Linked DNA regions of Tamandua tetradactyla. The protein of the gene in region 1 interacts with the protein of each later gene in a pairwise test. Links are inferred from orthologs where the notes say so. Each region holds a gene or a part of one and is shown on either strand. Other genes may lie near its edges.

Evidence for each region.
Region 2: the proteins of NR1H2 (region 1) and NPY interact in a two-hybrid assay, tested with the Homo sapiens proteins (3 studies listed by BioGRID and IntAct). The link is inferred for Tamandua tetradactyla from reciprocal best matches to the Homo sapiens genes NR1H2 and NPY.

Annotation. Positions count from the first base shown.
Region 1 is NC_135342.1:10,831,553-10,841,695, forward strand, and holds the start of NR1H2 (oxysterols receptor LXR-beta), read right to left. Parts: upstream 4,009-10,143; 5' UTR 3,908-4,008; intron 3,716-3,907; 5' UTR 3,582-3,715; intron 3,048-3,581; 5' UTR 3,029-3,047; coding exon 2,986-3,028; intron 2,898-2,985; coding exon 2,766-2,897; intron 2,466-2,765; coding exon 2,175-2,465; intron 2,092-2,174; coding exon 1,796-2,091; intron 1,597-1,795; coding exon 1,417-1,596; intron 844-1,416; coding exon 744-843; intron 1-743. UniProt on the Homo sapiens protein: Nuclear receptor that exhibits a ligand-dependent transcriptional activation activity. Binds preferentially to double-stranded oligonucleotide direct repeats having the consensus half-site sequence 5'-AGGTCA-3' and 4-nt spacing (DR-4).
Region 2 is NC_135327.1:99,323,191-99,333,992, reverse strand, and holds the start of NPY (pro-neuropeptide Y), read left to right. Parts: upstream 1-6,702; 5' UTR 6,703-6,749; coding exon 6,750-6,824; intron 6,825-7,266; coding exon 7,267-7,454; intron 7,455-10,802. UniProt on the Homo sapiens protein: NPY is implicated in the control of feeding and in secretion of gonadotrophin-release hormone.

The sequences.
Region 1 (10,143 bases):
TGCAGTTGCTCAAACACATCTGGCTCTTCTCCACCTCAGGACCTATGCACATGATCCCCTTCTCCACCCCATCCCCACCACTGTAAACACTGGAGACCCTAAGGACTCCCTGCCCAGGCCAGGCTCATACTCAAAGGGTTTCTGGGACCATCTTGGGTGGTATGGAGGGTGGGGGATTAAGGAATAAAAGGAGTTGGGTCTAGGAGTGGATGTTTGAGAAAACAGAGAGGGGACTCAGGCAGAGGCAGCAGAGAAGGTGGACTCGCCAGAAAAGTCCAGAGAAGGAGCAAAGCCTTTGTGCCTGCTGTGCCTTAGCGAGCAACCCTATCCCCACCCCCTTTTCCTCCGCAATGCCTCTCCTTCCTCAGGCCTCAGTGTAACTGCGTCTCCTGCAGGGAGCCCACCTGCCCACATCACAGACCCTAGGGGAATACTGTCGGAGGGCAGGGACTGCGTGGGTCGTGCACTTCACTGCAGACCGACACCCAGCCTGCCCTCCCTCCGCTGAGACGGAGACCCAGTGGAGAGTGGGGATAGGGTTCTTAATTCCCACCAAGATGCCCCACGGGGGAACAGAGACCCTGTGACTCATGCTCTACTGGGTCTGTTGTGCACACAGCTGGCACTCAGTGGAGGCTGAGTCCAGAAGCCCCACTGCCAGGTTGGCTCCCTCTCCCCTGCCCCACCCCCCACCTCAGGAGGTGCAGAAGCGGATGTGTCAGCCTCCACGGGCCACAGCCCACCTGCACGGTGGAAGTCATCTTTGCTGTAGGTGAAGTCCTTTAGGAAGGTGATGCATTCGGTCTCATGGTTGTAGCGTCGGGCTGTCTCCAGAAGCATGATCTGAGGGCACAGGGGAACGGGGTGGGCAGCGGCAGGCTGCAGGGACCCCTGTGCCCACTTCTCCTGGCCCTTCCACCCCCCACTCACTCAGCCCCACTGGCTCAGGCCTGCACCCGACACACTCCACACTTGTCCCTCCTCCAAGCAATATCACACTTGTGCCCACCACCCAAAACTCACTTTCCCCAGACTCTGGCGAGGCAGGCAGGGGGGCTTTGGATTTGCTCACTGCTCTATCCCCAGCACCTAGGACAGGGCCTGACATAAAGCAGGCACTCAGCATCTACTTGTTTGATCCTGACATCAACCCTTCTGAAAAGCCTTCTCAGCACACTCTCTCTAAATGGGTCCCTTCAGTCCATTCAACTACTCCCCACCTTAGCCCTCTCCCCTTTCTCTCCTTGGGGCCACACAGCCTGACTTTCTTGTTTCTGTGTTTGACGTAATCTTCTCCCAAGAGGGCAAGGAGAGGGGGTTCCTGCGTGCTGCTGTTCCCAGCACCTGTCCTGGGTTTATTTGGAGCTCCTGGAAGCCGAAAGGGAGAGCCCACAAGGCTGGGCACTCAGCCCTTACCTCAATGGTGGACGCCTTCAGCAGGGCGATCTGGTCCTCACGGCCCAGCTGCATAAAACCGGGCACCTGCTTAGCAAAGTCAACGATCTCCTGGACCGAGATGATGGCCAGCTCCGTGAAGTGGGCGAAACGCTGCTGGCGGGCATCGCGGGACTGGGGGTCTGCACCCAGGGGCCAGGGCTGGGGACATGGGGACTATGGTCACTCCCAGTACTCTTCCCTTGAGCCCAACACTGGAGGGCATCTTGAGGCAGAGCCTGCACCTGGGGGTACTCTCCTCTCAAAGCCCCTGGACTCTCAAGCCTCCCTCCCTCCCCAAGCCCTGGGCTGAAGCTAGCCAGATGCTACTTGCTCCTTGAGGCGGTGGAAGGGGCAGTACCGTGACTTTGGGCTGATCTGAGAAGGAACGCTTGTTGCACTGCAGCTGGGCTGCCACCAACTGCTGGATCATCAGTTCCTGAGCCGCCGTCAACTGGACCCCTTCGCCTTCCCCACAGCCCTGGCTGCTGGCCTCTGACCCTCCAGGAGAGGCCCCAGACCCAGGGGCTGAGCTGCTGCTGCTGCTGCTGCTGCTGCTGCCCCCTGGCCCCACGGGCGACTGTTGCTGCTGCTGCTGCTGTTGCAGCTGCTGCTTCCGAATCTTTTTTTTCCGGATCTGTTCTTCAGAGAGGACGCCTGTGGGGAGATGCAGGCCTCAGCAGAGGTCCCAAGCTGGGTGGGGACCAGACTGGCTCTGCTCCCTCAATCCCAGCACTCACACTGCTCCCTCATTCCTGCCTCCTTGCATTTGCGCAGCCGGCACTGCTGGCACTTGCGCCTCATGAAGGCATCCATCTGGCAGGTGCCACCGCCCCGACAGGCATAGCGCCCAGCCCCACCGCGGACCACACTGCGCCGGAAGAAGCCCTTGCAGCCTTCGCAGCTGAGCACGTTGTAGTGGAAGCCAGAGGCCTTGTCCCCGCACACCCGGCACAGTTCATGGCCCAGCATCTTCGGAGCCGGACCCTTCTTCCGCTTGCGCTCTGGCTCTTCCACTGGGTATGGGGTGACTGTGGTGGGTGGACAGAGATCGTGAGGAGAGCCTCAGAGAGAGCACCCAGAGAGGTCGGCCCCAAGGAATTCCAACAAAGAACCAACAGACAGGAAGAGAGATGCATATACCCAGGGAGGCAGGGATTCAGAGGAAAAAAGAGGTGTGGGTGAACCCCAAAGAATGAGTCAAAGTAAGAGATGTCAAGGAGGAACAGAAGGGAAAAAATCCCGTCTCACCCTTCCAGTCTCTGCACTTTCTCCCGAAATCCCTCCCAGACTCCCCAGGTGAACTTCCTGACCCCTGGGTCCTGTCTCACCCACACTGCAGGCTGAGCCTGCCCCATCAGTGCCTGGGACATCAGGGTCCGGACCCCCAGTCCACGGCTCTGGACCTTCTTCCTTTATGGCAGGGGAAGAAGAGGGGACACCGGGCTGAGGGGGTGCATTTCCTGGGAGAAGGGAGGAAACAGAAGGAGACTGAGTGAGCATCTTCTGATTGTGTGTAATAGAGGCTGGGTGGGAAAGGAGGTCACTCACCAGGCAGGGGGTTGTCCAAGGAACTGGTGCTAGGAGTGGACATGGTGGGGTCACGGAGCAGCCTACAGAACAGACAGGGTTAAAGAAAGGGCTTGTGGGACCACAAGGGGTCAGGTGGTACAAGTTACCAGCCCGACTGGGACCCAATACCTTCCTCCAACTCCATCCAACTTCATTCAAACTCCACCCCAGCCCCAGGCCAGAACCCTACCAGCATACAAATCCTCCCCTCCTAGTCTAGCAAGCCACGCCTCTTCCCCTGCTCCAGGACAGCTTCCAGCCACCCGGTCCCTATCCCGCCCACCTGCCGGTTCCAGGTCCCACCCCTTAATGATGCCCCGCCCTCATTTCCTCCCTTCCCTCACACCCCACCTACTCCCACTCAGAGACTCCACCTCCCACAAGCTACCCCCTCTCATCCTGACCCCACCTCTTTCCATCAGGCTCCGCCCATCATGCACAGCCCATAACCTGGCCCCAAGCTCACGCCATCAGTACCCCTCCCAAGCCCCGCCCCATTACTCGCTCCAGATCCCGCCCCAGCCCGCCCATCATGCCCTTGGCCCCACCTCCTTCCATCATGCTCCGCCCCTCACCTCGCTCCAGGTTCCGCCCCTCTCCGAGCGCCAGTAGGGGGCGGGGCTCATGGCTGCTCACGGGGGTCTCGTAGGCGGCCTCTTGTGGGGGTCTCCGGCTCCCGTTGCTTTGGAAACAGCCGGGGCGATGCGAGCTACGGAGGGGAGAGAGTGGAAGAAAGGCTGAGCGGAGCAGCGCAGGGGACGCCGGGAAACGCCGGGCCCGGGACTCCTCCGGCGCCCCTCTGCCCTCGGGTGCACCTGCCTTCGTTCCCGTTTCTCTGCTTCTCTTCCTCCGCTCTGTCCCCTTGCGCGCTACCACTGCTTAGGTCCCCTCCAAAACTAACTTCGCCACTTCTTCCGGCAACCCCGCCGTGCGTCACTTCTAGTCAAGGGCGGGGAGTGAAAGGTGACGGACTTCCGGTCCGCCCAGAGCGGGCCGAATCGGTTGCCCCGAACGGAAGTCGTTTCCTCACCGGAAGTTTACCCTGGCCGGGTAGTTCCCCTGGGGTCCGGCGGGAGAGTTCCGGGCCCTTTCGTGTAGCTATCCAAGCGCCTGGCTCGGTTTTAGCGCTCCTTGGTGTAGCTGCATTTCGCAAATGGCTGGTTAACCCGTTTTTGTCCTTTTTTGGGTTAACAAGTTTTCGGATTTTAGAGATGTGCTGCTTGTTGGTTTTAAATAAAACTACAATTCTGCATCCAGAAGATGTTTTGTTTTGTTTTGAATGATTTAGGGATTGGAATATTTTTTTAAAACTTCCCCTTACAAAAAAAAAAAAAGTAAGAAAGCTCTTGAGGAAATTCTAACAGGTAGAAGATGGAAATTGTTCTACAGCCTCCCCCTTCCATATATGCACATTTGTAAAATTAAGTGTAAGAATATAAGATCTATACTCTTTTTGTAGCTTGTTTTGTCCACTCAATAGGATAATACAAAGATCCTTCTGTGTTTAGCAAATGCTACTCCCCAGTCTGAATTTATAGGCCGTGAATGTTTCACCCAAAGAGGTTACCGATAAAGAGAAGTGGTTATCGTGGGCTTCGGGGTCAGAAGGAATGGGTGCCCCTGCCACTTCCTTGCTGTGAAACTTTGAAGTAACTTAACCAACCTCCCTGCGCCTCGGTTTTCTCATCTGTAAATTGGAAACGAGGAAAGAATCGACCTATTGCGTTGTCATTATGATTTACTGAGAGGTAAAAAATATGAATTGGATGAGCTCGAGGGAGAAGCCCTGTATGTTGGCGCTATTGTTTAGTCCTGTGGGTATTAAGGTATTAGAACAATGCAAAAGACTGTTGACGAATTACTGAAGTGTGAGGGCCAGTTACGTCATAGTTGGCCCTCCTCTAGAACAGATATGATTATTCATATTTCTTAGGAAGGATGAAAGGATTCAGGGAGCATAGTGTCTGACGTATAGAAGCATCCAATCAGCCATCCTAATTGCAGATGAGTGTTCTCACTTGTAACTGACCCACTGTCCACGAAGTTTTTTTTAATGCAACTGTGTTGAGAGATATATTCACGTACATAGACTCATCCAAAGTGTACAATCGGTGGTTCACAGTATCATTATATAGCTGTGCATTCATCATCACAATCGATGATGATTGAAACATTTTCATTACTCCAAAAACAATAGAAATAAAAGTAAAAAAGAACACCCAAAACATCCCATGTCCTTCCCTTAGTATTTATTTATTTTTGACTTTATTTTCTTGCTCATCTGTCCGTACACTGAATAAAGAAAGTGTCTGTCACAAGGTTTTCACAATCACAGGGTCACACCGTAAAAGGTATAAAGTCATACAATCATCTTCAAGAATCAATGCTACTGGATTACAGTTCAACAGTTTCAGGTATTTCCCTCTAGCTACTCCAATACACCAAAAACTGAAAAGGGATGTCTATATACTGCATAAGAATAACTTCTAGAATGACCTCTCAACTCTTTGAAATCTCTCAGCCACTGAAAATTTATTTTGCTTCGTTTCTCTTTTCCCATTTAGTCAAGAAGGCGTTATAAATGCCGTAATGCCAGGTCCCAGCTCATGCCCAGGAGTCCTGTCCCACGTTACTGGGGAGATTTACACCCCTGGGAGTCATGTCCCATTTAGGGATATCCCTCAACTTTCTTTTTTTGTAGGCAAAAGTAATAAAGTTTATTAAAAGAGAAGTTTATTAAAAAGAGAGGGTACACGTTAGAGAAGTTAACCCGTGCGTGCCCAAGGGGGGACACCCACTGAATGGAGTGGGCCAGCTTGTTTTATAGGAAAGTTTTATCGGTGGTGGGTTTCCATAGTAACCTTTAAATAGTAGATGTCTTCTTTATTCTAGGAGGACATAGCTAGCAGAATTCATGGTTTCTTATCACGAACCTAAAATTGTCTTTGGGCAAATGGTTAACAATCTTTATGTCCTTAGGTTTCCTATTATTAAGTAAGAGTTTGCTTTGGGCCCAGAATTTTACAAGATTTTATAGTTTGGGGAGGATTCAATGTTTTGGGGATGTTTGGGTTTTAGTGACATTTTTGTCCCGGGAGATTTGCAGCTGAAGTCTGCAGCTCTGAGTTAGATCCTCGGAGCTAGATAAGAAACAAGGGACTTAGAGTTGCCTGTTAACTCTTTCAGAGCTGAATAGGAAACCAGGGACTTACAGTTGTACTATTTTATCCTGCTTCAATCTGCTCCCTGAAAGAATTCAATCTCTTTAATCTTAAAGGGGTTGAGGGATAACTGTTTGATGTTTTCAGAGTTGAGAGAGTACATGTGGGAATGCGCATAATTGCTAACAATGATGGAAGGGCTGGGGGATGTTGGAAAATACAAAAAAATCATTATAATTCACCCCATCCCACCACTCTTACAATCTTTGCACCACTTCTTCCACATAAGTCCCTGAGTGTGGGAAAGGGAGGTTACAGGTTTACAGCTTGCAATGCTGAGAAATGAGGGGGAAAAAAAAGCATTTGGGGGAAGGCAAGTACATTTAGAGCTGCTTTGCCTCCCTGTTCATTTATTTTGTCACATAATTATGCCCCAGTCACACTTGAACGTGGACATCTGTCCCATAAGCTGGTATACAGTTGAATCGGGAGTTCTTTAGTAATTTATCCAGATTGAGCTGTTCCAAACAGATGGGCAGGTCCTGTTTAGATGTACTCTTGCTTCTTTTAGAAGTCTTTTTTTGTTGAAGATGATTTTCTCATTTGTAGTTGACTGCAAACAGAATGCAGGTCTCCAGGACCAGTGTCTTACGTAGAAAATGCTGCTCTCCTGGGATCTTTTGGGATCACTCCTGCCAGGCTCACCTGAATATGTAACCAGTGCCCTGCCAGCAATGCTGCCAGCTGAGCTCCGATCAGGTTCAACAGTCTTGAAACTAAAAGAATTTAGAGATGAGAGGGACAGTAGGCATAAATAGTAAAGTTTACTGAAAGAAGTTGATAAAAAAAAAGAGAGAGTATGTGTTAGAAAGGTTACCGTGGGTAAGCCCAAGGGAGGGACACCCCTCAACTTTTAAAAATAGTTTTGTGGAGATGTAGTTCGCATACCATGCAATTCACCCATTTAAAGTGTGTGATGCAACGGTGTTTAGTGTCTTCACAGATTTGGACAACCATCAATGTGGGCAATCATCACGATCAATTTTAGAACATTTTTATCACCCCCGAAAGAAATCCCACACTTATTAGCAGCCAATTCCCATTCTCCTTCCCCCCTCCAGCCCCCACCCCAAACTTCTGGCAACCACTAATTCACTTTCTGTCTCAAATAGACACATACAACATGGCGCTTTTTGTTACTAGTTTCTCGCACTTAGCATGTTTTTTTTCTTTTTTTATTAATTTTTAATTTTTTTAAAAATATAACAACAAACAAATGCAAACATTCTTAATTTATGATCATTCCATTCTACATATATAATCAGTAACTCACAGTATCATCACATAGTTGCACATTCATCATCCTGATCATTTCTTAGAACATTTGCGTCAAATCAGAAAAAGAAATAAGACAACAGAAAAAAATTCATAAATGCTATACCCCTTACTCCTCACTTTCATTGATCACTAGCATTTCAATCTAAGTCAACCTAAGTCAGACACAAGGTTTTCACAATCACACAGTCACACTGTGAAAGCTATAGCATTATACAATCATCTTCAAGAAACATGGCTACTGGAACACAGCTCCACATTTTCAGGCAGTTCCCTCCAGCCTCTCCATTACATCTTGACTAACAAGGTGATATCTATTTAATGCATAAGAATAACCTCCAGGATAACCTCTCGACTCTGTTTGGAATCTCTCAGCCATTGACACTTTGTCTCATTTTGCTCTTTCCCCTTTTGGTTGAGAAGGTTTTCTCAATCCCTTGATGCTGAGTCTCAGCTCATTCTAGGATTTCTGTCCCATGTTGCCAGGAAGGTCCACACCCCAGAAGTCACGTCCCACGTAGACAGGGGGAGGGTGGTGAGTTTGCTTGTTGTGTTGGCTGGAGAGAGGCCACATCTAAGTAACAAAAGAGGTTCTCTTGGGGGTGACTCTTAGGCCTAATTTTAAGTAGGCTTGACCTATCCTTTGTGGGGTTAAGTTTCATATGAACAAACCCCAAGATTGGGGGCTCAGCCTATTGCTTTGGTTGTCCACACTGCTTGTGAGAATATCAAGAATTCAACTTGGGGAAGTTGAATTTTCCCCCTTTCTCACCATTCCCCAAAGGGAACTTGGCAAATACTTTTTTATTCACTGTTCAAATCACTCTGGGATTTATCGGGGTATCACTCTGGACAAACCAACAAAAGCTCATGCCCTACTTCAGCTTCCATGTACTTAACAATGTTCAATTAAGCTGACTACATAAGTTATATTAGGAAATGCACTAATCAAAATATAATTTTTTGTACCAAATAAGCATTTTTGTTTTAGTCTTACATAAAAGTTAATATTTTAAAATATTTATTACCATCTATTTTCAACACCCTGCAGTAATGACATTCCTTTGCTCTTCTTCACGCAAAAACATTTTTTTGATTTGTACACTTAGTCACCATCATTATACGCTCTAGACTTAGCATGTTTTTAAGGTTTATCCACGTTGTAGCAGGTGTCAGTGCTTCACTCTTTCTCATGGCTGAACAATATTCCAATCGCATGGACGTACCACATTTTGTGTATCCATTCATCAAGTGATGGACATTAGGGTCATTTTCATTTTTTTTGACTCTTATAAATAATGTTTCTATGAACATTTGCGTACATATTTTTGCATGAACATGTGTTTTCATTCCTCTTGGGTACATGCTTTGGAGTGGAATTGCTGGATTACATGGCAACTCTATGTTTAGTGATTTGAGGAATAATCAGACTGATTTTCAAAGCAGCTTCCCATTTTTCATTCCCATCAGCAGTATAGAGAGGTTTCAGTTTCCCACGTTCTCATCAGCACTTGTCGCTGACTGTAAATTTGATTACAGCCATCCTATTGGACACGGAGTTATATTTAATTGTGGTTTTGATTTGCATTTCCCCGACGGTTAACATCTTTTTTCAAATAGCTTTTTTAATAGAGAAGGTGTAGGTTACAGAAAAAATATGAACCTCTCATATCCCCTTCCCCTATTATAACACAGGGGGCTGGTGTGATACCTTTGGTACAACTGATGAAAGAATATTATTGTAATTTTACTATTAATTATTGTCCATGGCTTATATCATGGTCCCCTGTTTGCAGTTTTGAGTTCTATATAGTTTTATTTTTTATTTTTTATTTATTAATTTAAAAAATTAACAACAAACAAAAATATTAACATATCATTCCATCCTACATATATAATCAGTAATTCTTAATATCATCACATAGTTGCATATTCATCGTTTCTTAGAACATTTGCATCGATTTAGAAAAAGAAATAAAAAGACCACAGAAAAAGAAATAAAACGATAACAGAAAAAAAGATTATACATACCATACCCCTTACCCCTCACTTTCATTTATCACCAGCATTTCAAACTAAATTCTATGTAGTTTTTTAAAAAACATTTTTGTTCTAACATATATACAACTTACAATTTCCCTTTTAAACCACATTCAAATACATAATTTAGTGGTGTTAATTACTTTTACAGTGTTGTGCTAAAATCACCACCGTCCATTACTAAAACTTTTCCATCACCCTAAACAAAAACTCTGCACCAATTAGGCATTAACTCCCCATTCCCTGCTACCACCACAGCCCCTGGTAACCTGTACTCAGAATATGAATTTGTTTATTCTAGTTATTTCATATCAGTGGAATCATACAATATTTAATCTTTTGGGTTTGCCTTATTTCACTCAACCCGGTATTTCCAGGGTTCATTCACGTTGTAGCATGTATCAGAATTTCATTCCTTTTCATGACTGAATAATATTCCGTGGTAGATATATACCATATTTTGTTTATCCATTCATCCATTGATAGATACTTGGGTTGCTTCCATCTTTTGGCAATTGTGAATAATGCTGCTATGAATATCAGTGTGAAACTACCTGTTTGATTCCCTCTTTCAATTCTTTTGTAACACTATTTTTAGAAA
Region 2 (10,802 bases), on another chromosome or scaffold:
GCAGGGGATGAGAACAAGACTTTTCATGTTGTTCTTTTTAAAATATTATTTCTTTTTTAAATTATGTGTATACAATACCTAATTTTAAAATTAATTTGAAAAACACATAAAATGTAAATACTATAAAAATGTCTAAGAAAAAATAACTCTTTATGTTCTTATACTCCTCTTGGTTCTAACACCAAAACTAATTGTGCTGTTCCCCTAACTTAATTCCTTAATTCCTTCTTAATTCCTTATTCCACTGAAAGATTTCCCAACCCAAGAGAACTTTGCAAAACTTGGTGTTTTGTTTTTGCAAGGCTTTCTGTGATCCATGAAAAATAAAAGTGTTGAATAAAAGTAGTGAACTGATTTTATTACTACTTACTAAATTGTGGAGTAGTTATTCTTTTACATTATTTGAATGCAAACATCTAAAAGAAAATGTTAACACATAAGTTATAAGCATGCTGTTTGAATAAACATGTGTTAAATGAAGCCATTCAATATAATTCTAAAAAGGAAACAAAGCTTTTAAAAATTGTTTTATTAGACTTTCTTGAAGTAAACATTTAAAGGAAACTAGATGTGGTAGTTAGATTCAGCTGTCAAATTGGCCAGGTGAACGTGCCTAGTTCTGTTGCTGTGGACATGAGTATGTGAATGTCATCTGTTGCTGATTACATCTGCAGTTGGCTAGGAGGTATGCCTACTGCAATTAATGATGTTTAACTTAATTGGCTGATGCTTAAATGAGAAAGCTCAATGTAGCACAACCCAAGCAGCTCAGCATACCTCATTTCAGCACTCGCAGCTCAGCCCAGGCCTTTGGAGATGTAGAAAGGAATCACCCTGGTGAAAGTTGTTGGAACCCAGAGGCCTGGAGAGAAGGCCAACAGAGATTTTCCTGTGCCTTCCCACATAAGAAAGAACCTCAGATGAAAGTTAGCTGCCTTTCCTCTGAAGAACTAATGAAATAAATCCCCTTTTATTAAAAGCCAATCCATCTCTGGTGTGCTGCATTCCAGCAGCTAGCAAACTAGAACAGATCTGGTACCAGGAGTGGGGTGCTGCTGTGGTTTGCAAATAACAGATATGTTGGAATGGTTTTTTGGATGGCTAAGGGGAAGATTTTGGAGGAACTGTGAAGAGAATGATGGAGAATTCCTGGAGTGCTTGACAAGACTGTTGGTGTAAATGGAACTACTGCCAGTCTGGACAAAGGGGGATACAAAGGGACAAATTGGAGTTTGCAGAGTGAGAACCATGGAAACTCGGGTCTGAAGCCAAGGAATGTCAGCCAGGAGAGTGGACCCACCCATATACATGGAGAGAGTGAGTTTGCCCTGAGGGCAGAGGATGAGTCTCCCACCTTGTTGCAGTGGAAGAGTTGTGCAGCCTTAGGCCTTGAAAAAGGTATAGCATGATCCTTGGGGACTGGGGAGAGTCTGGCTGCCACCAGATGGAGGGGTTGAACATGTGCCCCAGAAATGGCAAAGAGCCCAGGGGAGGTCCTGATGCCTGGAGAGAGTGGAGCCGAGAAAAAGGTGGTCTCCATAATGTTCCCCAAGGTTTATTTAGAAAGAGGCAGGCCACTGCATAGACCCTTGGAAAGGGTGAGACTGCCACGTTCTAAAGCCAAAGGATAAATGACTTTCAGACTTTGAAATCCAATGGTCTTTGCCCTGCAGGCTTTACATCTGTGTTTCTTCCAATTTCTCCCTATGGAAATGAAAACCCGCATCCTGTAAATATCCTCCTTTGCATATTGGCACCAGACAACTTGTTTTGAGATTCACAGATCCACAGCCAGAAGAGAATTATTTGCACCTTAATATTGTTTAAGGTGATGCATGTAGTTGCCAAGTTGACAAGAGGTGGACATGTGGTAGTTAGATTCAGTTGTCAACTTGGCCAAGTGAAGGCACCTAGTTCTGTTGCTGTGGACATGAGCCATCTGTTGCTGATTGCATCTGCAATTGGCTAGGAGGTGTGCCTGCTGCAATGAATGATGTTTAACTTAATTGGCTGGTGCTTAAATGAGAGAGCTCAACGTAACACAGCCCAAGCAGGTCGGCATACTTCATTGCAGCACTCGCAGCTCAGCCTAGGCCTTTCGAGATGTAGAAAGGAATCACCCTGGTGAAAGTTGTTGGAACCCAGAGGCCTGGAGAGAAGGCCACAGAGATCATCCTGTGGCTTCCCACATAAGAAAGAAACTCAAATGAAAGTTAGCTGCCTTTCCTCTGAAGAACTAATGAAATAAATCCCCTTTTACTAAAAGCCAATCCATCTCTGGTGTGTTGCATTCCAGCAGCTAGCAGACTAGAACACTAGAGTTGGTTTGTTTCCAAAATACAAACTGAGAATACTTTATTCCATTTCCAGAAAGGTGGTGACTAACCCAAAGTCACACAGTTAATGGCAGACCTAGTATCTCCTGGTGGTCCAAACTTGCTTAGGATTGGGTGGGCAAGTCAGTTACATTCTGGAATAAAGTATTAGCAAATCCTCCATTGCTATAGAGCTAAGGCAATTTCTCCAATCCAGGTTTTACCAGTGATAATCTGGTATTCTAATCTCCATCTGTCTGACTCCTATCAATCAGTTTACATCTGCAGTGCTATTTGTTGGCCCTCTAAGACCTAACAAGCTGCAGCCACAAATAGTATATATAATGACTTTCCAAATCTCATTTTAATCCAACAAATTTTTATCGTGCTCCTACTAAGAGTCAAGTATTAGTCTAAGTATTAGGAATATAAAGGTGAATAAAACATACACCCTTGCTCTCATGGAGCTTACATTTATAAAACATTACAAACATCAAACAAATACCACCTGTGATTATGTACTTGACTATACAATTACAGCTGTCAAAGAAATTTTAAAGGAAAGTTTTAGGGTCTATGGGACCATACAATGGGTGGGGTGGAGAGAAACCTAATCTAGAGTGAAGGATCATGGAGAAATGACCCAGAAAGTGAAATTCCAAAATTAGTGGGAGTTTGCTAGGCAAAGAGTCAAGGGAAGGGAGAGAAAATAGCATGTGCAAGGTCCAGTGACAGGAAATAGGCACATTATAGTTAGGGCAAGTCAAATTGTATGGAATGTATGTGTGTGAAGACTTCTCAATAAAAATATTTTTTTAAAAAAGGAACATCTTTAAAAAACAAAAAAACTTTGCTATGAGACTTCCACTCCTTATTAACATGATGAAATAGATAGCAGATTTATCCTCCTAGCTGAAACTAAAAAACTAGATAATATATAAGAAATAATGACAAAACTAGACAATGTATATGAAAAAAATTGAATGTATTAAGCAAAGACATTGAAGGTATAAAAAGATTCAAATTGAACTTATGGAGATGAAAACTATATGGTTTGAGGTACAAACTACAATGGACAGGATCAATATTAATTAGATGCTGCAAAAGAAAAGCTTAGTGAACTTGAAGACATAGCAATACAAACTATTCAAAATAAAATACAAAGAGGAAAAGATGTGTTAAGAAAACAAAGTAAAACAGATTTTCAGTGAACTGTAGGACTGCAGGATAACATTCTCCTGTTATATGACCCAGTCTTTCAGCACCTAAGCATTATATCCATACAAACACTTATAAATTAATGTTCACAGTAGCTTTATTTGTAATAACCCAAACTGGAAACAACCCAAGTTAAGTGGACAAAATAAAAAAAAAAAAAAAAAAATTGAGGGTTATCCATACAATGGAATACTACCCAGCAATAAGAAAGAATGAAGTACTGATACATTCAACAACATAGGTGAATCTAAAAATAAAGATGCTGCATGAAAAAAGGCAAACCAAAAAGGTGTGTGTGTGTGCATGTATATATATACATCGGGATTATATTTATAAACAAATTCTAGAACATACAAATGAATCTGTAATGACAGAAAGCAGATCAGTGGTTGCCTAGAGGAGGAAGGCAAGGAGAGGTGGAAGGGAGGGGAGAAGTACAAAGAATCAGGAGGAAACCTGAAAATTTTAGAGGTGATGGTATGTTTCTCATCTTGACTTGGGTGATGGATCCTAGGCTGTATATATGTGTGTGTATGTCAAAACTTATCAAATTGGATATTTTAAACTTTTGTTCCTTATTGGATCTCAATCATACCTTAATGAAATTGAAATAAGTAAATAGATAATAAATTAATAAGACTTTGAAACAAAGGAAAGAAAAGGCTCAACAGCTGGGAGATGCTGGGTTGAGCAACCGTTGTTTTTGTTTTTGTTTTTCTGGGTCTTGGTTTCGCTTTGTGTCTTTTCTGGTACAAATCCAAGCAAGTTTGTAAACTGAGGGAGGGAATAGGAAACTAAATGAAAAAGTGGAGGTAATTGATGGAGCAAGGTTCTGAGAGAGAAGAGATAGAATGTTCAGAGAAAGGCAAGGACTAGTTTGGACTAGAGAGGAGGGTACTATTGTACTCCTACCAGCAGGGCTCCCCTCGTGGTTTTTTTATCCTCCATTTGCTGAACCCTGGGAATAAGTTCTCATTCTTGGATACCAGTGACATTATCTTAATCTAAATTAATTGAAGTTGCCTAGTTCTTCCCACTGGAGAGTGACATATGTCCTCAGAAGTAAGTTCTCCCAAATTCAATGGTTCCTTCTAGGTCCAGGCTTAACTCATGTGAATCTATGACACACTCTAAAACTAAGATTATTTTTTGGAAAAGTGGACTGTGCCTTTCCATTTGTTAAGAAAGAGCCCTACAGTGAATGGTGTTTTGCTGTTTTACCAGAAGTTCTTTCCGATGAATGCCCTCTGAGCTCCACTGAGAGCTGCGATCTTTGTGTTCCTGTCACTTTATGTGGAACAGAGAAATTATATGGAAAAGGAAGCAGTCATCTGAAAGAAAGCAATCTGGGTCTTCAAAATTTATAATCTGGTTGGTTGTGTCTGTGTGTGTTAGCACTGCTCAGTGCGTAGTAATTGATATTTAATTCAGTGCTCTCCAAACAATACAAAAACAAAGTGGCCGTTTAACGAATCCCTTGTTATTTAGCATTTAAACAACTTGAACAAAGTTTTGATTTCCTAACATCGAATCTTAGTAACAGTCAACCTTCTAGGAGTGTTAATTTCAGAACCTTAAGACCACAGTCTACTACATAAAATCCTGATCCTTTAAAAATAGTTTCTGTGGTTTTTCATGTTCATTCAACAAATACTGTGTGCAAATTAACGTTGATTGTTTTTACCTGTTTTCATTTCAGTTATAACTTACATTCTCATTCCACGTTAATTGAACATACTTAAGACTATCCTGGCTCTAGCAAATAAAGGAGAATTTGCTGCTCATTTAACTACCGGCCACTGCAGACCAAAATTTTTCTAGCGATTGCGCTGTACAGGGTCTCCAGACTCTCGAAGCATGGCTCTTTTCCAGCAAATCGGGGAAATGAGTTTACTGTATTTCGCTTCTGGAGTTCTGAATCTCCACACCCTTAGGGGTGCCGATCCAGCCGGGCTCGCTGCATTTGGGCGAGAACTTGAGGAAAGCTGGTCTCCCAGAATAATTAGCTGGGGAAAGATGCCAAAGAGGCCGAAGTCACGGAAGTAGGTTCTCAATCTCTCGGGGGGCGGCATTTGGACCCTCTAGCTCTGGACTTCAGGTAGCCGGGATTGACCTGCATTAAGCGCAGGAAAATCTGTTCGCCTAGTTGCTACTTCCTTCAAAAGCGCGGAGTTATGCCCGGAGTAGCTGCCGAGTGGCTCCTGGAGCTGCTCCACCCAATTGAAGGGCTTGGGTATCCCTGTTCGGGTGTCCAAACGGTTGGTGGTCTCTGGGACCGCGACAAATATGACCTGGGCTGCGCCTTGCCTCACGGCTACTGATCTCGGCAGGATTAGACGGGCATGAAAGAAAGAGGGGTTTGGGGCTTCGCGGACAGGCAGGGTTTTGAACTTTAGTGTTCCCCGGAGCCTAGGAGAGCGCGCGCTCGCTTGCATCTTCAGCGACACCCCCTTCCCTGGGCAGGGTTGAGGGCGGCGGAGTTGGAATGTGAGGAGTGACTCCTAAGGCGAAGCTTGTGCGGCTGCCGCTCCAGCCCCCTCCCCCCGCCGCGAGTCGGAGGCGGGAAGCTGCGGGGTGGGAGTCACCCGAGCGTAATTGCCCAAGGCCCCTCCTGCTGCGGCGAGGAAGCGCCATAAAAGCCCCGCTGCGACGGCTCTAGACATCCGATCCACCGGTTCACACCCCTTGGAGAGGCGCGCCTGACAGCAGAGCACTTGCCGCCCATCCTACTCGCGACCACCGGCCTGCCAGCCACAGTGAGTGTCCAACCCCAGCCTGACCTGGAGCTGGAGCGTAGGGGGCGCCCATTCACTTGCCCCTGGTGCTCTGTCACTTTTTTGCGGTGTCCGGGAGCCCCGGGGATCCTGGAAGAGTCGCGTCGGGCTCCCCGGCCCTGCGCGCCCCTCGAGCCCCGACACGCGCCAGTCCATTTTGATTGCTAAAGTTCACTTGCTCCTTCGGATCCCCTGTGATCGTCCATTCTCTCTTCTCCCTGGCTCTCCCGGCTGGGTGGTCTTTTGGAGTAATCTTTTGGCGGCAAGGAGGGGAAAATACGAGACCCTCATCCCAGAGTAGGTGGCGGTTTTCCTGGGGGTCGCCGCCAGAATTCCCAGAGAGCGGCGCGTGGGAGGGAGGTTCCCCAGGCAACGCCCCTGAATGAAGAATCCCGGGCACTCGGGGTGCTGGGAATCATCGGGATCCAAACCGAGACTGGCTATGCCAGGGAGCAATTCTCCCCCGATCACCTCCATCCCCACCCTACCTCCGCCCCTCGCAAATCTGCCACCCAAGGTAAGCTCAGCCATCACTGTCGAGGTTCCTCCCTGCACAAGAGGGACCAGAAGTAACAGAGAAGAAAGTTTTATCCACCCACATGGGTTTGGAGATGAGGGTAGGAAAATAATCATCCTTCAGAACACGGAGAGGAATTCTAATTTTGTTTAGAAGTATCCAAATCGGCGCCAGGGCCTCCACCCTGAGCCGCGCGACTTACCACTGAGTTGCAGAGTTTTCTGGAGAAGCCGAGGGCCCGGCCAGGGCAGGTACCTGAGAGTCCTGAGCCGGCGGGACGGAGCTCACCACGCTCGGGTTCCCTCTGCTGGACTAGGTCAAGGGCGCGGATTGGGGGTCGTGGTTGGTAGCAGCCCGAGGGACTTAGTGGAATCAGAGCAGGGAGGTGCGCGCGTGGGACCTCGGAATTCCGAAGCCCCTTCCGATGCGCCTTGTGTCACAGATGCTGGGTAGCAAGCGACTGGGGCTGTCCGGACTGACGCTCGCCCTGTCCCTGCTGGTGTGCCTGGGCGCGCTGGCCGAGGCGTACCCCTCCAAGCCCGACAACCCTGGGGAGGACGCGCCCGCGGAGGACATGGCCAGGTATTACTCGGCGCTGCGGCACTACATCAACCTCATCACCAGGCAGAGGTGAGTGGACTCGACGGTACCCGGTCCCAGGTGCATCTCGCTTGCACAGCCTGAGACTCTGGGGATCTTAGGAACCGGGACCGTTTCTTTTTCTTCGCTGTATCCCAGAACCAGGAACAATATCAAACGCAATCAAGCTATTCACTAAATGTGCCCGTGGGCCACTAGGTACTGCACTTGCAGTTTGAAACTACAGTCGCAAAATCGTGATTCCCTGTTTCCCCAGACTGTGTGTCTGGCCATTTCCTTTTACCTGTCACCCCCGTGCCAATTTTGTTCTTCAAGCGCATAGGGGCCTGATTAGAAACCTGGATTGGAAAGCGCGGTGAAAGCAGACAGGAGTGCACCAGGAAAATGCTGGAGGGGAGGTGGGAGGAAAGTGTCTAGAAAACAAGACAGAACAAAACAACCTCAAGGAAACTGCTGGGTTGTCAAAGACACTGATGGGTTTTTCAACCTACCCAGGGTCGACTGAAGGATAATAGGTAGGAGAAGAAAATAGGGCTATATTATTTCTTCTGTTCAGTGTTTTTTGTTTGTTTGTTTGTTTGTTTGTAGTCTCAACCATTTACTTGAAACTTTCAGTTCCAATAATGAGCGATTTAGCATGAAAACAGATAATCTAAAATGCAGACTGTCCTGTTTATAGCAGGTGAATTCTGAAAAGAAAGTGTTCACTTGGTGCTTTACTCTGAACCCCCAGAAAGTCAAAACAAAATGTCACATTTTCACTCTCAACACTGAATAGTAGGCAAAAAAAAAAAGCAAATTCAAACTATTTTACAAATAATATAGGATTTGCCATTAGTTTTCAAAGTACATTCCCCTGACTTCTAAGTCATATCTTATTTTAATGTCTAAAGTCAAATGACTTGAATAAGATACAAAGTATGAGCCTGTTGGAAGCATTAATGTTACCTAACATGTTTCAATTGCTTTAGAAAGCATTTTTTAAACCATATTTTCACTGTTTACAAGTCAGGGAATAATATGAAAAACTCCGAAGGGGGCAAATTTATACTTTTAAAATAAAGTTTCTTTTAACTTTTTCATTAAAGAGGGGTGTAACATCCTGAAAAGTGTTTAGTCCCAATTTATAGAACATCAGAAATACATGAAAATGACAGAATTGTATAGTATTGTCTTGTAATCCCTTGAAATCTGATATGTTTAATTAGGGAAAAGTATAATGTTATTGCTTTACATTCTCATTTATGCTATCATACAGATTGGAGATGGGGGAGATTTGTACAAATAATAATTTTTTAAATAAAAATCACAGCTGTTATTTTTTTCTAGGAAAACCTTTGATTATTTCAGTAATAGAGTTCTATACAGTAGAATTTATTTTTTAAAGATGATTATCATTGCCCTTTTATAAATCTTTAGTATTTCAAAATGTTTTCCCAGGCATTATCTCATTTAGTTTTTCCCTCTAAGGTTTGAAGTAAGTATAAGTATCTCTATTTCACAGATCATGAAACTAATGACATTTCATGGAAAGTTTTTTTAAGGGGTGATGGAATTGGAGCCACCCTATTGATTTTCCTTGGATGTTGTCACCACCATTAGCAGTCATGATCCCCAATATCTTTAATTAGGAAAAAAAAAAAAAAGAGGAAAGGGACTTGAGTTTCTTGGGAAGGGATGTGGGATCGATGGGAACAAGCCATTCTTGAGGCAGAGCTTCCAGTGTAGAATGTTTTCACCCTGAGAGGAAATAGTAGGTTGAGATCACATGGGGCACCGTCCTTCCTTTGTTTTTTCCAAGAAATGATACGGCACTTTGTTCATGTACAGGCCAGAAAGTGAAGGTTTGTTCTTAGAGATTTCTCGCTCTCTATTTTCAGAATTCACAAAATTTCTTAACACACAAAATTACATCTGGTTTAGCAGAGATGTGGTCTTACCTATCTAATCATCCTTATAAATTCCTTCTTAGAAAACATCAGAGGCTTATAATCTGCACCCATCATCTCCATTCTCTACTCTCATTCCTTCTACCACAGAAACTCACTTAAATGTGTTGGGCAATATATCCTTGAAGATATACACATCTTTGAAAATAGTGTCGTTGTGTGAATATATGTTTTAATTTGGCATAAATGTTAGTCTGATGTAGATATCATTATCTTCCTCTTTCTCTTTAGTCCCAGTGTTTAAACCATATTCCTACTGCTGTATATACCTCTAGTTCATTGCTTCTGAAAACTGCATCTTTTTCTGGAGTATGAACCTACAACATTTTGCTTATACAAATCTCAACAGGGGTTCTCAACTGGGTGGGGGTGATTTTACCTTCTCACACCCCTCGGGACATTCGGCAAAGCCTGGAGACATTTTTGGTTGTCACACCTGGAGGGGGTTGCTACTGTCATCTATTTAATAGAGGACAGGATTCAAACATCCTGCAGTGCACAGGACAGCCCCTGCAACAAACAATTACCCCGCCCAAAATGTCAATAGCACTGAAATTGAGAAGAAACCCTGCCCTAGATTAGTGTTTCTCCATCATGTTTGCACAATAGAGTCACCTGGGGAGATTTAAAAATACAAGGAATCTGGGCTCCATCCCTGCCGAATTAAATCAGAATCTCTGAGGGTGGAAGTTGGAGCCTGGGCTTTGTAGGGCTTTAAAAGAATCTCCCCAGGTGATTGTAATATGCAGCCAGGTTTGAGAATCTTTATCCTAGGGACTCAATAAACACATAGTAGAGAAGAAGGAAAGTCCAGAAGTAAGAAAAGGAAGAAGAGTGAACTAGGCTATCCTAGATGCTACTTGTTTTAGGCCTATGCAAATCCTCCCTTATAGATTTTAGCTTCTTTATTGGTAAATCACAGAAAATATTTGCCACTTCTTTTCTTTATGGAGCATAAGGTAGATACATGAGTTAGTCCAGAGTTTTAATATTAATAAAATCAATGATGGACAGAATATATAAATATAGGCAGCAGTTTATGGTCTGATACCACAACCCCAGAATTCTTGGTGGAAATCTTACAAATGATGGGAGGTTTGGGGGCTCAGGTTTGATTTGTTTTTGCTTCCCTTGAATCTTAGCAGAGAAGCAATAATAGGAAAATCCTGACCAAAATTTTAGATTTGACTGTGGTCATTAGGCAGTTAGGGTGCACCTTCTCTCAGTTTTGTCCAGCACTTTTACCTATTAGTTAATGATTCCATGAAAAGGCTAATTTTTCAACTGTGAAGAAACTGCTGTGTGAAAGAGAAAATAGACTCTAAAAATGCAGTTTGGTATAGACTTGTCAAAATCCTTTGCTGAGAGAGGGAGTGAGAGACACCACAATACTCACTCACCTGGAGCAGGTAGTATATACAACCTGGGC